Linked DNA regions of Cricetulus griseus. The protein of the gene in region 1 purifies or fractionates together with the protein of each later gene. This does not show direct contact. Links are inferred from orthologs where the notes say so. Each region holds a gene or a part of one and is shown in the gene's direction. Other genes may lie near its edges.

Region 1 (6,377 bases):
TTTTATTTTCTCCTTTAATTGGGGAAATTTTTTTTTTTTTTCTCTATGGCTTTGGAGCCTATCCTGGAACTAGCTCTTGCAGTCCAGGCTGGTCTCGAACTCACAGAGATCTGCCTGCCTCTGCCTCCCCAGTGCTGGGATTAAAGGCATGCGCCACCACTGCCCGTCGGGGAAATTCTTTTATTAATAGATGATTACATATTAACCACCAATTTTTCTGTGTTCCCCTTCTTTCAGGAGAAACTAGAGCATCAGTATGCACAGAGCTACAAGCAGGTCTCAGTGTTAGAAGATGACTTAAGTCAGACCCGGGCCATTAAGGAGCAACTGCATAAGTATGTGAGAGAGCTGGAGCAGGCCAATGATGACCTGGAGAGAGCAAAAAGGTAAAGGATGCTGGGCGCTTCATGAGGGTAACCAGTTGTCAGCTCAGGCTTTCCTTGGACCCTAGGAGCCCGTTTCCCCCTTCAGTATCTTATGTCAAGATTGAATTGAAAGGAACCAAAAGAATAAACTGAAACAAAACAACATGCCAGGCTTAGTGGTGCAAACCTAAATCCCAGCACGTGGGAGACTGAGGCAGATGGATCTCTGTGAGTTTGAGACCAGCCTAGCAAGTTACAGATCAGCTCAAAAACAAATCTCCCTAAAGCCTTTATCCTCCTAAATAAAGTCCTTCCAAGCACTTTCACAATCCTCTGACCTCTGCTCTTCATAGTGCCGGGGTTACACACACACACAAAATCATACCCAGTTTGGTATGTGGGTGCTGGGAGCTGAAATCAGGTACTCATTGTTGTGCAGCAAGTACTCTATTTTTATTTTATTATTTTATTTTTGGTCTTTCTTTCTTTCTTTCTTTCTTTCTTTCTTTCTTTCTTTCTTTCTTTCTTTCTTTCTGTTTTTGTTTTCAAGACAGGGTTTCTCTGTGTAGCTTTGGAGCCTATCCTGGAACTCGCTCTGGAGACCAGGCTGGTCTCTGGTCTCGAACTCAGAGATCGGCTGCCTCTGCGGGGGGGGGGGGGGGGGGGGGGGCAAGTGCTGGTGTGCGCCACCAACGCCCGGCTTACTTTTGGTTTTTCAAGACAGGGTTTCTCTGTGTAACAGCCTTCGCTGTCCTGAAACTTGCTTTGTAGACCAGGCTGACCTTAAACTCACAGAATATGCCTGCCTCTGCTTCCAGAGTGCTGGGTCTAAAGGCATGCGCCACCATACCCTACTTGTCTTTTTTTTTTTTTTTTTTTTTCCAAATTTAAGATGTGTCTCACAGCTGAGTATGGTTTGTGCCTGTAATCCCACTACTTGGAGACTGAGGCAGGAGGATTTCTATGAGTTTGAGGTCACCTTGGGCTATGGAGTGATTTCCAGTTCTGCCATACTATAGAGTAAGATCCTGACATCAAAAAGCAAAGCAGAAATGTGCCTCACATGTCCTCTCTTCCTTGTGTGTTCTCAGTCTTTACCTCCTGTTGTGTAGGCCTGTATATCTTAAGCTTGGACTCAGCAGTTATCTTCACACTTTCAGTCTTTTTCCTTTTTTTTTTTTTTTTTTTTTTGCTTTGTGAAAAAAGGGTTTTTCTGGAGCCTGTCCTGGAACTTGTAGACCACACTGGCCTTGAACTCAACAGAGATCCACCTGCCTTTGCCTCCTGGGAGTGCTGGGATTAAAGGCATGCGCCACCATGGCCTGGATAGTCTCTTTACTTTTAATATTGACCAGTGGATCCTTTAATTACTGCTTTCATCCTACAGTGGCTTGTTGTTACTGTTGTCAGATTTTCATGTCTCAGTTACTGTTTACTACCATTCTAAACCTAACTCCTACTACTTTACAATTATCATCTAGTACTTTTTAAAAAGAAAGCATTTATTTATCTATTGTGTATGCAGTGTTCTGACTGCGTGTATGCGGGCACTCCAGAAGAGGGCACTAGATGTCATTAAAGATGGTTGTGAGTCACCATATGGTTGCTGGGGATTAGCCCAGGTCCTCTGGAAGAGCAGCCAGTGTTCTTAACCTCTGAGCCTATCTTTCCAGCCCCAAGCCTAGTACTTTTTCTTTAGTATTTATCAGTTGACTGTTGATTGACATGATGCTAGTCACTGTCCTTGGAGCTGACCCCAAGAACACCTGCTATGATAAATGCTCCAGGAGGAAGAATGTACAAGCTGCTTCAGAGCAGCTAGAGCACCTGTGGGTACTGGAGAGCCCTTTTACAAATTGGAGCTGAGTGTGCAAAGAAGAAAAGTTAATTCACCGTGGAGAGATGGTGAAGAGGCTGGAGGCAAGAAGGTGTTTGCACTATTTCATTAAGAGTTTGCTTTCATTGGCAGGTCTAGTGACAGCTGAAGGGTATGAGAATGGAAGGCCAGGTTGGGAGTAACCCTGTGTGCTATGTTTGAGCGTCTCTTTACAAAGGGTAACATCTGATTGATTTGAGAAGACAATACTGGGAAGGTTTTTTTTTTTTTTTTTTTTTTTGGTTTTTCGAGACAGGGTTTCTCTGACTTTGGAGGCTGTCCTGGAACTAGCTCTTGTAGACCAGGCTGGTATCGAACTCACAGAGATCCGCCTGCCTCTGCCTCCCGAGTGCTGGGATTAAAGGGGTGTGCCACCACTGCCCGGTTGACAATACTGGGAAGTTTAAGCAAGGAGTTGTTGTAAAACTATGAAGCAGTAATCCAGATGAGAAAAAAGAATTAAGGCAAGAGAGGGGAGACTGTTGGGGACCAAAGACTAAAAGGCTTTGGAGAGACATTTTGGCAGCCTACTGTAACTGATAAGATTAGAATTGGCATTCTGAGTTCTAACTTTAGGTTGGGGAATTTTATTTCTGTAGCAGATAGCAGGAAATGGGAGGCCACAGAGTGGGTACATGCTAATTTTTGTTGGGTGGAGTGAGATCATTCTTCAAATTGGGTCAGACTGACTGGGTCAGGAACGGCAGGAGATAAACTGTTTTCTTTGTATTAGCTGTTTGTTCATGCTATTTAATTCATAACTTTTAATTTTTTTTTAAAGGGCAACAATAGTTTCACTGGAAGATTTTGAACAAAGGCTAAATCAGGCCATTGAACGAAATGCATTTTTAGAAAGTGAACTTGATGAAAAGGAATCTTTGTTGGTCTCAGTACAAAGGTTAAAGGATGAAGCAAGAGGTAAGTGTAATAACTTAGCAAGTATTTATCCATTGCCTTGTCCTCGAGCCTGAGTAAGCCAAGCATCAACCCTTTTGATGGTGCTGGAAATCAAACCCAGGACCTAGAGCATGCTGGGTAAGCACTCTGCTTCTGAGTTATGTCTCTAGCCCTCAATTTCTATGAAGCTCTAGTCTCACATGAATTTACCTATCTTTTAATCACTACATATTGCTTTTCCCCTGGTAATTTATTTCACAACCTATCATCAGTGCTACAAGGTAGTTATTATTCATCCATATTGTAGATGAGAAAGGTGAGGCATAGAGAGTTTGGGTTTTTCCAAGGTAGTACTGCTTTCATTTGGGATTTTTTTTTCTGTATTGATTCTATTTAAATACCTTCATGTTATCTACATAGAACCATGTATTTATATATGTTGCTGTTTATTATACATGTAGCCAGTACTCACTTTATTTAATTAAAACTTATGTCTCCAGAAGCACAATAAAATTCAGAATTTTATAAAGAAGGAAAGCCCACTAACGGTGTGACATATTTGGTTCAGTTTTTTATGGTTGTGCATAAATATGTCTTTCTATCTTCCTTTGTATAATTCCTGACTTATTTCCTATAAGCAAACCAGTGTGCATACACATTCCCTTTCTTCTGCTTAATATAGGAATATACATGCCATCACAAGTTTTTCAATAGACTTTTGGATCTAGAGAGATGACTTAGCAGTTGGGGCATTTACTGCTCTTGATCTTGTTTTCTTTATAATCTGAATTTTATTATGCTTCTGAGGAAGAGTGAGGGGAGTTTTAAAGGAAGTGTGTTTTAATTTTATGTCATCTCTTATATATTTTCAAATGCCTTTTTATTTTCTTTTTTCTGAGGGTGGTGACATTTGGAACTTTTTTAAAATTAGAATTTTAAAAAGATTTCTTTATTTTTGTAAGTTTATTTTATGTGTAAGGGTGTCTTGACTGCATGTATGTGTACCGCCTGCATGCTGGGTGTCCTAGGGAACTAGAAAAGATCAGATCTCTGGACTCAGAGTTACAGATGGTTGTGGGCCACCATTGGGGTGCTGGGACTCAAACCCCAGTCCTTTGGAAGAGCTGAGTGTTCTATTAACTACTGAACCACCTCTTCAGTGTCTGAAGAACTACTTTAGATTATGTAATATGTAAAATATTAACTTGGTATTGTTTATTGATAGCTTTTGTTTTGCAGTGCTAGAAATGGAACACAAGACTTTGTGCATGGTAGACAAGCACTGTACTACTGTGCTATATCCCCAGTCTTGCTCATTGTTTTGTTCATTTGTTTTGAGGTGGTGGGGCTTAATGCCTGCCAGGCAAGTGCTCTCTATCCCTGAGCTACATTCCCAGCCTCTTACTTATAGAAAATTGTATTTAACATCTTTCCTATTTTGCTTTTTGAGAGAGGGTCTCACGGTATAGTTATGGCTGGCCTGAATATCACTATGTAAACCATAGTCACTCCCAACTCACAGAAATCTGTTTCCCTCTACACTGTCAAGTTTGGACAATAAAAGTCTGTGTTAGCTGATTTTTAAAAAATATTTATTTAAATATTATCTATCTATCTATCTATCTATCTATCTATCTATCTTTGTTTGTCTTTTTGAGACAGGGTTTCTCTATTTGCCTTGACTGTCCTGGGAACTTACTTTGTAGACTAGGCTGGCCTCAAACTCACAGAGATCTTCCTGCCTCTACCTTCTGCTGGGATTAAAGGGTGTGTGTCACCATTGCCTGGCTTGTTGTTTTTTTTTTTTTTTAATCAAGTGTTATTTCTTTTTATTATGTTATTTATTTATTTATTTATATTTTTATTTTTGGTTTTTTGAGACAGGGTTTCTCTGTGTAGCTTTGGAGCCTATCCTGGAACTCGCTCTGGAGACCAGGCTGGCCTCGAACTCGCAGAGATCCTCCTGCCTCTGCCTCCTGAGTGCTGGGATTAAAGGCGTGCGCCACCAATGCCGGGCGCCTGGCTTGATTTTGCTTTTCTGAGATAGGGTCTCTGTACATGGCCCTGGCTATCCTGGAACTCACTATGTAGATCATGCTGTCCTTGAGCTCACAGCGATCTGAATCTTCCTATTCTTTTTTGACAGAAATTCTGTAGGTTAGTTGTGTAAATGGAAACATTAAAAATTCAGTATTGAAAAAAGATTTCATAGCAGTGGTTTAAAAAAGCTATGGTATGGCTGTGCGTGCCTTTAATCCTGGTACTTGGGAAGCAAAGGTGGTTGGATCGCTATAAGTTTGAGGTCAGCTTCACTGATAGAGTGTTCCAGGCCCACCAGAACTACATAATGAGACCTTGTGGGAAAAAAAAGTAAAAAATTAAAAAAATCACAAAACTTTTTTTACTTCATTGTTTTTTGTAAAATAGTCTTGAAACTACTATTTCAAAATGTGATATATGCAGATATATATGGGAACGAGTTGGTTAGGAGTGTTTTGTGTTATTAATTTCAGGACATTTGTTAATTTCAGGACTTTGTTTTGTGTTATTTAGTTTCACTATGAGTTCTATTTTGCACCCTGCTCTTTTTGTTTTTTTTTTTTTTTAAAGATTTATTTTGTGTGTATGTGTATGCTACTTGTGTGCAGGTGCTTGCAGAGGCCAGAAGGAGGATATCAGATCCTCTGGAGCTAGAATTATAGGCAGTTGTGAGCCGTCTGACATGGATTGGGAACTGAATTTGTCTTGTGGAAAAGCCATCTTTCCAGCCCTCACTGATCAATTTCTTTTTGCCTTTGGGCATAGTTCTGTTCTCTTGAGGTTTAGCATTTTAAAATTCTTTTTAAAAATTACGTTTACTGGGATGGCTAGGGGCAGGTGGGATGTTTCGGGGGAGGGGAGGGAGAGGGAGAAGGGATTGACATCTGAAGCAAGCTTGTTCCTAATTTGAACTAATAAAAAAAATTATGTCTACTTATTTAAAGTGTGTGAGTGTGTGTGTGTGTGTGTGTGTGTGTGTGTGTGAGAGAGAGAGAGAGAGAGAGAGAGAGAGAGAGAGAGAGAGAGAGAGAGAGAGCTTGTGCCACTGCATAAATATGGAAGTCAGAGGACAACTTGTAGGAGCTGGTTCTCACAGTATACCATATCCGTCTCAGGGATGGAACTCTGGTTGTCAGGCTTGGTAACAAGTGCTTTAAGCTACTGGGCCATCTCACTGCCCCATGTTCTTAAGTTCTAAG
Region 2 (6,377 bases), on another chromosome or scaffold:
TTACCCCCCAGTCTTACAATTCTTGTCCCCTCCCCTGGAATGATAGCACTATAATGTTCCCCACTCAATTTCTGAAGAGGACTAGTTTCAAGATATATAAGGACATGTGGAAATTGTAAAGACTCCATTTAAGTCTCTACTGATGTAGCCAAAACTAACGCTAAGTTTTTCACATAACGTTAGGGGCGGGGGGGGGGGGGGGGGGGGAAGAGAGAGAGAGAGAGAGAGAGAGAGAGAGAGAGAGAGAGAGAGAGAGAGAGAGAGAGAGCGCAATAATAAACAGGTCACAATTCAGCTTCCTGGTTTTAGACAGGCCTGGAGTTGTGTGTGGATAGTTTATGGTTTTGTGTTAAAATTCTCAGCCATGTGTTGTTTTCTTTTAAAAGCCTGGAGATTATAAACAGATACCAGAGCAAAACCCTCTATTTGAGAATTTTTAATTGCCCATTTTGCTGATTAAACATGTGTTTGTTTAGGTTAAGTCAGTGGTGTGGGAGCCCCGAGCCCGCTTTTTATTATTGTTAGCATGCCCACAGATGTCCGGCTCTGCATGGAGATGGAGTATTTCATAGTCTTGTCTCCATGGAGGGCAGGGATAAGTGCCCTCAGTTGCCTACCCCTCTCCCCCTGCCACCCCCATCCCAGTGAGAGACCAACATTCATTTCCTTCCTTACCACCAACTTTAGAGATGGGGCAGAACCTCGGACGTTCCTGTTTTCTATGTTCCTGTCAAGGCACTCTCCCCTCTAGTCAGCCTGCTGCAACGCTGTCAATGTGGAGGTATCATGAGTGGTCAGTACTACATGGAGCTTCAGGGTCGCTGGGACTATACCCTGTCAGCAAGGATTTCCAATTCATGGTTTTCCAATTGATGAAATCTCTGGCCAAAATAGCTTGGTTGACTTGCACAGGAAAGTCTGAGTTCTCGTATAAGTCCACCTATAGTTTGTGCCAACCTTCAGATACACAAAATGGACTGCTTGATGTAAATAGCCAGGAACAATGAGGGGTGTTGTTATTACCCTTCATTGTCATTAAACTTAATGTAACACAATGTCTTTTTTAGACACTTGTTTTAAGTCGTGTGTGTTTGTGTGAGTGGATTCCGTGTGTGTGGAGGTGTCACAGAGGTCAGAGGATCAGATCCCCTTGAGTTGGAGTGACAGGCAATTGTGAGCTGCCTCACACAGGTGTTGGGAATGGAATCCAGGTCATTTGGAAGAACACTCAGTGCTCTAACCACTGAACCATCTCTTCGGCCCCCAGAAGCATGTGTGTCTTTTGACATACTCTCTAAATTTAACAGAGAGTTTTCCCATAATAAAGACTCATGTACTATCTGAAGCAGTTACTTAAATGCCTTTCTTTGTGAGTTCAGAGCCTGTACACCCAACAGCTACCCTTCACGGGGTCTACTTCCTGTAGAATTCTCATTTCTATGACCTGAGTGACAATTTCCTGGTCTCTCAGTTCATGGAGGACCCACAGTGCCTCTATGACAAATATGTTTAGTACATCTGATATTAATACACGTGTATTCTCACGAACAATTGATTTTGAAAATGTTTGTAAATACAAGGGTATTGTGTGTTTTATTAAAGCCTGGAGCTGACAAGCGTAATCATTACAGTATTATCTTTAGTTTCTGCACCATTAGTTTCAAAATTCTCACCTGTCATCTCTGCCTGGCTGGGGAAGCGGCGGCACACGCTGATGAAATCCAGCCGGCCTGAAACCAGAGACATGGAGCAGCATGGATGTCAGGGGCTTCTAGTAGAGCCTGGCTTCTAGCACAGTGGGGGTCTTTTGTAGCGCTGTGTGAAAAGCAAACACGATTTAGCCAAATGATTTTTCCATGCTATCTTTGGCATGGCGAGGAGTTGACAGATGGAAATGTAACCACACCATGTTTTGGTAGGAGAGCATGGAGCTGGTGTACAATAAGTCCAAGCCTGTCGCTGTTACTGGAATGGCTTTCCCAACGGGAGATGTCAACAACTTCGTGGTTGGCAGTGAGGAAGGTACCGTCTACACAGCTTGTCGTCATGGAAGGTGATTTTTCTGTTTTCTTTCTGATGACATGGTCTTCATGTTCCAAATTCTTGCCATCTAGATTATAACCACCTTGCTTTGCAAGATAGTTATTTCTGAAGAACTACAATGTACGACCTCAAATCTAATAGCTTAAAGCACACATCTGTCTGGGGCCCTGGTGACTTACAAACCTTCAGACACTTCACATTGCCTTGAAGAAAATGTTCGACTTCTTCACGGAGCCCATCACACTCCCTATTCCTTGCCAGACTAATTTTTCACACATACCATCAGGCTCCCACCATGTACCCTTCAGAGATTAACAACCCCCAAATATTGCCTCCTCCCTGCGTGCTTTCATGAGTCAGTTCCTCTGTTTTCTACTTGGTCTAGCATCAGATACCATCATAAGAATATACTAAAGTGCAAGGTACCTGTGTCCTTGTTGAGGGTAAAGACTGATGCAAAAGTAAATAGTTGCTTAAGAACCATCAAGGCAACTGAAGTTAGATAAGCAAGAGAGAACCCTAGCCAGTCACGCTGGCTACTTTATATATTCTTCTGCATACAATTGCAATAGTATCCATCACATTTTGTTTCCATCAGTCTTCATCAGTCCTTATTCTGCCATATTTCTCTGGTTAAATTGTTTCCATTTCTTCTTTGATTTCCTGCCCCAGAACCTGGTACATAGTTAATAGGTGAAGGGCTGAAATTTAAATAAGAAATAAAGAAATGACAGTATTTAAATAATGAAAGAAGTACCTTAAGACCCTCCCTCCAAGCCAGGTGGTAGTGGTCGGGGTGGTGGTGGCACAGGCCTTTAGTCCCAGAACTGTAGAGGCAGAGGCAGGAGGATCTCTATGAGTTCAAGGCCAGCCTGGTCTACAGTGCAAGTTCCAGGACAGCCAGGACTACACAGAGAAACCCTATCTTGAAAACAAAAACAAAACAAAACAAAAGATCCTCCAAGTCAGAAAGGTTGAAACAGTGTGAAACACACATAGAACTGTGCAGTAGCTCCCACGAGATACTGGTGGATGCCTCTGAAGTCAGCTGTAACAAAGTGGATTTGTGACACTCGGACTTAACAGGTGGGCCTCTCATCCTTTGAAAGGATCCCCGCATCCACACTGATGCTTAACTTCTCTTGCGCTTTCATAGTTCTTGGCCAATGAGTTTTTCATCTCTTGCACTCATCCCAGGCTACTTAGATTTAACAAGGAATTACAAATTGTTTAAGCTCAGCTACGTGAATTTTTCCACTCTAATAACACAAGCTGTGATAGTCCCATTGTTTTTGTGTCTAGAGAAGCAGTTTTTGCCCTGCTCATAGGATTTAAAGATGACTGGGGAAGTTAGGTCCATGTCCAGCATCTCTGTAACAATAAAACCCAGACTAAACCCACACACAAAAAGATAGGATCAGTTTATTCATTTGCTCAGACATTTGCTGCTCGCCTCCTCTCAACAGAGTGTATTGCTGAATGCTCTACGTAGACGTAGACAGGTGCTGTTTAAACCTGGTTCTTTGGCGGGGAGTGGGGGGCTTCAAGACAGGGTTTCTTTATATAACAGTCCTGGCTATCATGGAACTTACTCTATAGACCAGGCCGGACTCAGACCAGAGATCCGCCTGCCTCTGCCTCCCAAGTGCTGGGATTAAAGGCGTGCGCCACCACCCGGCTAAACCTGGTTCTTGTCAGGAAACTGATGCCAGTGAGACTAACACGTGCATACATGCATGCAGCACCCATAAAGATGCCATAATTGGTATGTGACACACAGATCCAATGAGTCAGACGCATGGCCACAGTTCCTTCTCTGTGTGTACTCAGATCAACAACACAGCCTTTTGGTTAACCCAATTCAGCTACAGCCTGGGTGTGCATACTCAGGGTGTTTATGAGCTGGAGTGTACATTCTGATTTTCTTCCAGATTTCTTAAGTGAGTCACCATCTAAATGAAGGCTATTTTTATTTTGTGGCTATTGCAAACAGGCCCAGAGTATTTTGCATTGTTGTTCAAAAGAATGTGCCTCTGACTCACACCACAAATGCCTTTACTGATTTTGCTTTTGACATTGGTCCATCCATTTGAACTATAAAATGCAAATTTTGGTAAGGTCATAAAGTAGCAAGTGCTGGCTCTGTAATAATGTTAAACAGGTCATTTAGGGCTGCAGGGGAGAGCTAGGGGGTTTCTATTTTTTCACCTAATGTAAAGTGCAAATCCAATTCCACAAATTAAAGGAGATCCTCACTTTGCACCCTGTAAAGCCTCTCAGGATGCTGCTAAGAACAAGCTGAACCCCACCAGGGGCCACTTCACAGATCTGCTGTTCCTGCTCACCAGGGCACATTTTGCTGAGCACACGTTGGAAGCCCTGTTAGCAGTTTTACTGAGAGGAATGGCTGGTTACACGGAAGACACTCAGCAGTGCTTTGCTCATGATTCCAAATTTTACTCAGCACATTGACACTCACTGGTGCTCAGGGCCCAAATGTTTTACTAACTGAATTCATTTTTGCTTTTAGTGACATAATATTGAGATTCCACAATCCCTACATGTTTGTCATACTTACAGCCTCATGCATGTGAATCTTTTAAATATAATATTGTGGGTATATTTTCTAAGCATTGCCTAATTGTGTATGACTGCATGTAGGCTATTACGTAGTAAGAGAAGGCTGGAAATAATCCCAGTTCAGTTAAATAATCCATGCCAGAGGAAGACTTGTAAAATGTGCATCCTTATTTCTCAAGTGTGCTTCTTTTAAGCAGCATAAATTTTCTTTTTTCCTTTGTAATTTAACTCAACAAACATTTATAGAGTATTTATTGTATATTAGACACTTGGAAACAAGAAATGTAAGATAGCTCTGCTTCTGGAATTTACAAATTGAATCTCTAATCTCCCTTCAGTTTCCAATGGAATGGAAAGATCTCTTTTCTATATTTTATTGATACCATGTGAATTATTTTGAAGCAACTACAGTTTTCATCAGATGTGACATTTTTTTAGACATGTCAACTTAGTTTAAGAAGTTTCCTTGGAGGACTATGCAACTATTCATTCAAAGAGTTATTGAATTGTATAGCCAGTAAAGTCCTCAGAGGGCACTCAAATGGGGCTTGAACACCTCAGGGGTTGTTGCATCATAAATAAGAATCTCGTGAGACTCAAGCACATTTGTTTCACCGCAGTAGTGTCTCCAAAACAAAGAAATCTGTAAGGTCGATGCAAACAGACAAATGATAAAAATGTTTCTTATTTAAGTCTTAAGATTTCTTAACTGTCAATGTTTTCCCTGTCAAAATTGCTGTGAAAATGGCTTTATTCTTGATCTTGTATGATTATTTTCTTATTTAATCATTTTTTCATTTATTTTTGAGATCATAATTTTATTACATCATTTCTCCCTCTTAAACTTTAAATATACCCCCTCTTGCTCTCCTTCAAATTTGTGGCCTCTTTTGTTATTACTCGTGATTATAGGCAAATATGTATAAATGTGTGTATTCCTAAATATGAACCGCTCAGTTTTTTATTCATTTTACGTGTATGGTTGTTCTAACAGAGGTGAGCGCTGTTATATTTAATCAGTCTTTGCTTTGCAAAGATCACTGAAATGATGTGTGTTTGCTCTCTGCAGCAAAGCAGGCATTGGTGAAGTCTTTGAAGGTCACCAAGGACCAGTGACGGGAATTAACTGCCATATGGCAGTGGGTCCCATCGACTTTTCTCATCTGTTTGTCACATCCTCATTTGACTGGACCGTCAAACTGTGGACCACAAAGGTAAGGATGCCTGGATAGAAACTGTCCTATAGTACACAGGGGATGAGGATGTTTCCCCCTGGGGGAGTTGCAGAGAATAACCGTACCTGGCATAGAGATTCAGACAACATACTGGAGAACTCCATCTGTCCAGGAGCTAAATAATACCTTAAGGTCTTTTTGAAGTCCATACTTATTGTAAATGTTTAAATTATACTTGAAAACAGATGAATTGTAAAAAAAAAAAAATACACAAATGATTAAGTAATGATAAATCCAAAGTCCTCCTTTACAAATGTTACTCATGTTAACCCACCTGTATCTTGCTGTTAATCTCTCTGGGTTCTGTAGCATTTACTTACTCACATTCATGGCTATGATAAAAAAATGTGTAGTTTGCCACATTATTTGATTGGTTTTGGTCTATTTTGGTTTCTTGAGCCTTTGGAGGTTTCTGAACTGGAATATGGCCCTGTGTTACTTACAGTTTAAATGGAACTTGTGCTGTGGAAAAAAAGTCAACCTGAGCAGTGGTGTCATACATCTTTAACTGAAGTACTC

What was found. Proteins that work in one complex are often made in the same cells at the same time.
Region 2: the proteins of Ndel1 (region 1) and Dync1i1 purify together in Homo sapiens (affinity purification with western blotting; 3 studies listed by BioGRID and IntAct, with this or other methods). This does not show direct contact. The link is inferred for Cricetulus griseus from reciprocal best matches to the Homo sapiens genes NDEL1 and DYNC1I1.

The regions. Positions count from the first base shown.
Region 1 is NC_048600.1:82,726,009-82,732,385, reverse strand, and holds part of Ndel1 (nuclear distribution protein nudE-like 1), read left to right. Parts: intron 1-237; coding exon 238-386; intron 387-2,159; exon of another isoform or gene 2,160-2,267; coding exon of another isoform or gene 2,268-2,293; intron 2,294-3,022; coding exon 3,023-3,159; intron 3,160-6,377. UniProt on the Homo sapiens protein: Required for organization of the cellular microtubule array and microtubule anchoring at the centrosome. May regulate microtubule organization at least in part by targeting the microtubule severing protein KATNA1 to the centrosome.
Region 2 is NW_023276806.1:218,951,855-218,958,231, reverse strand, and holds part of Dync1i1 (cytoplasmic dynein 1 intermediate chain 1), read left to right. Parts: intron 1-1,919; coding exon 1,920-2,053; intron 2,054-5,692; coding exon 5,693-5,837; intron 5,838-6,377. UniProt on the Homo sapiens protein: Acts as one of several non-catalytic accessory components of the cytoplasmic dynein 1 complex that are thought to be involved in linking dynein to cargos and to adapter proteins that regulate dynein function.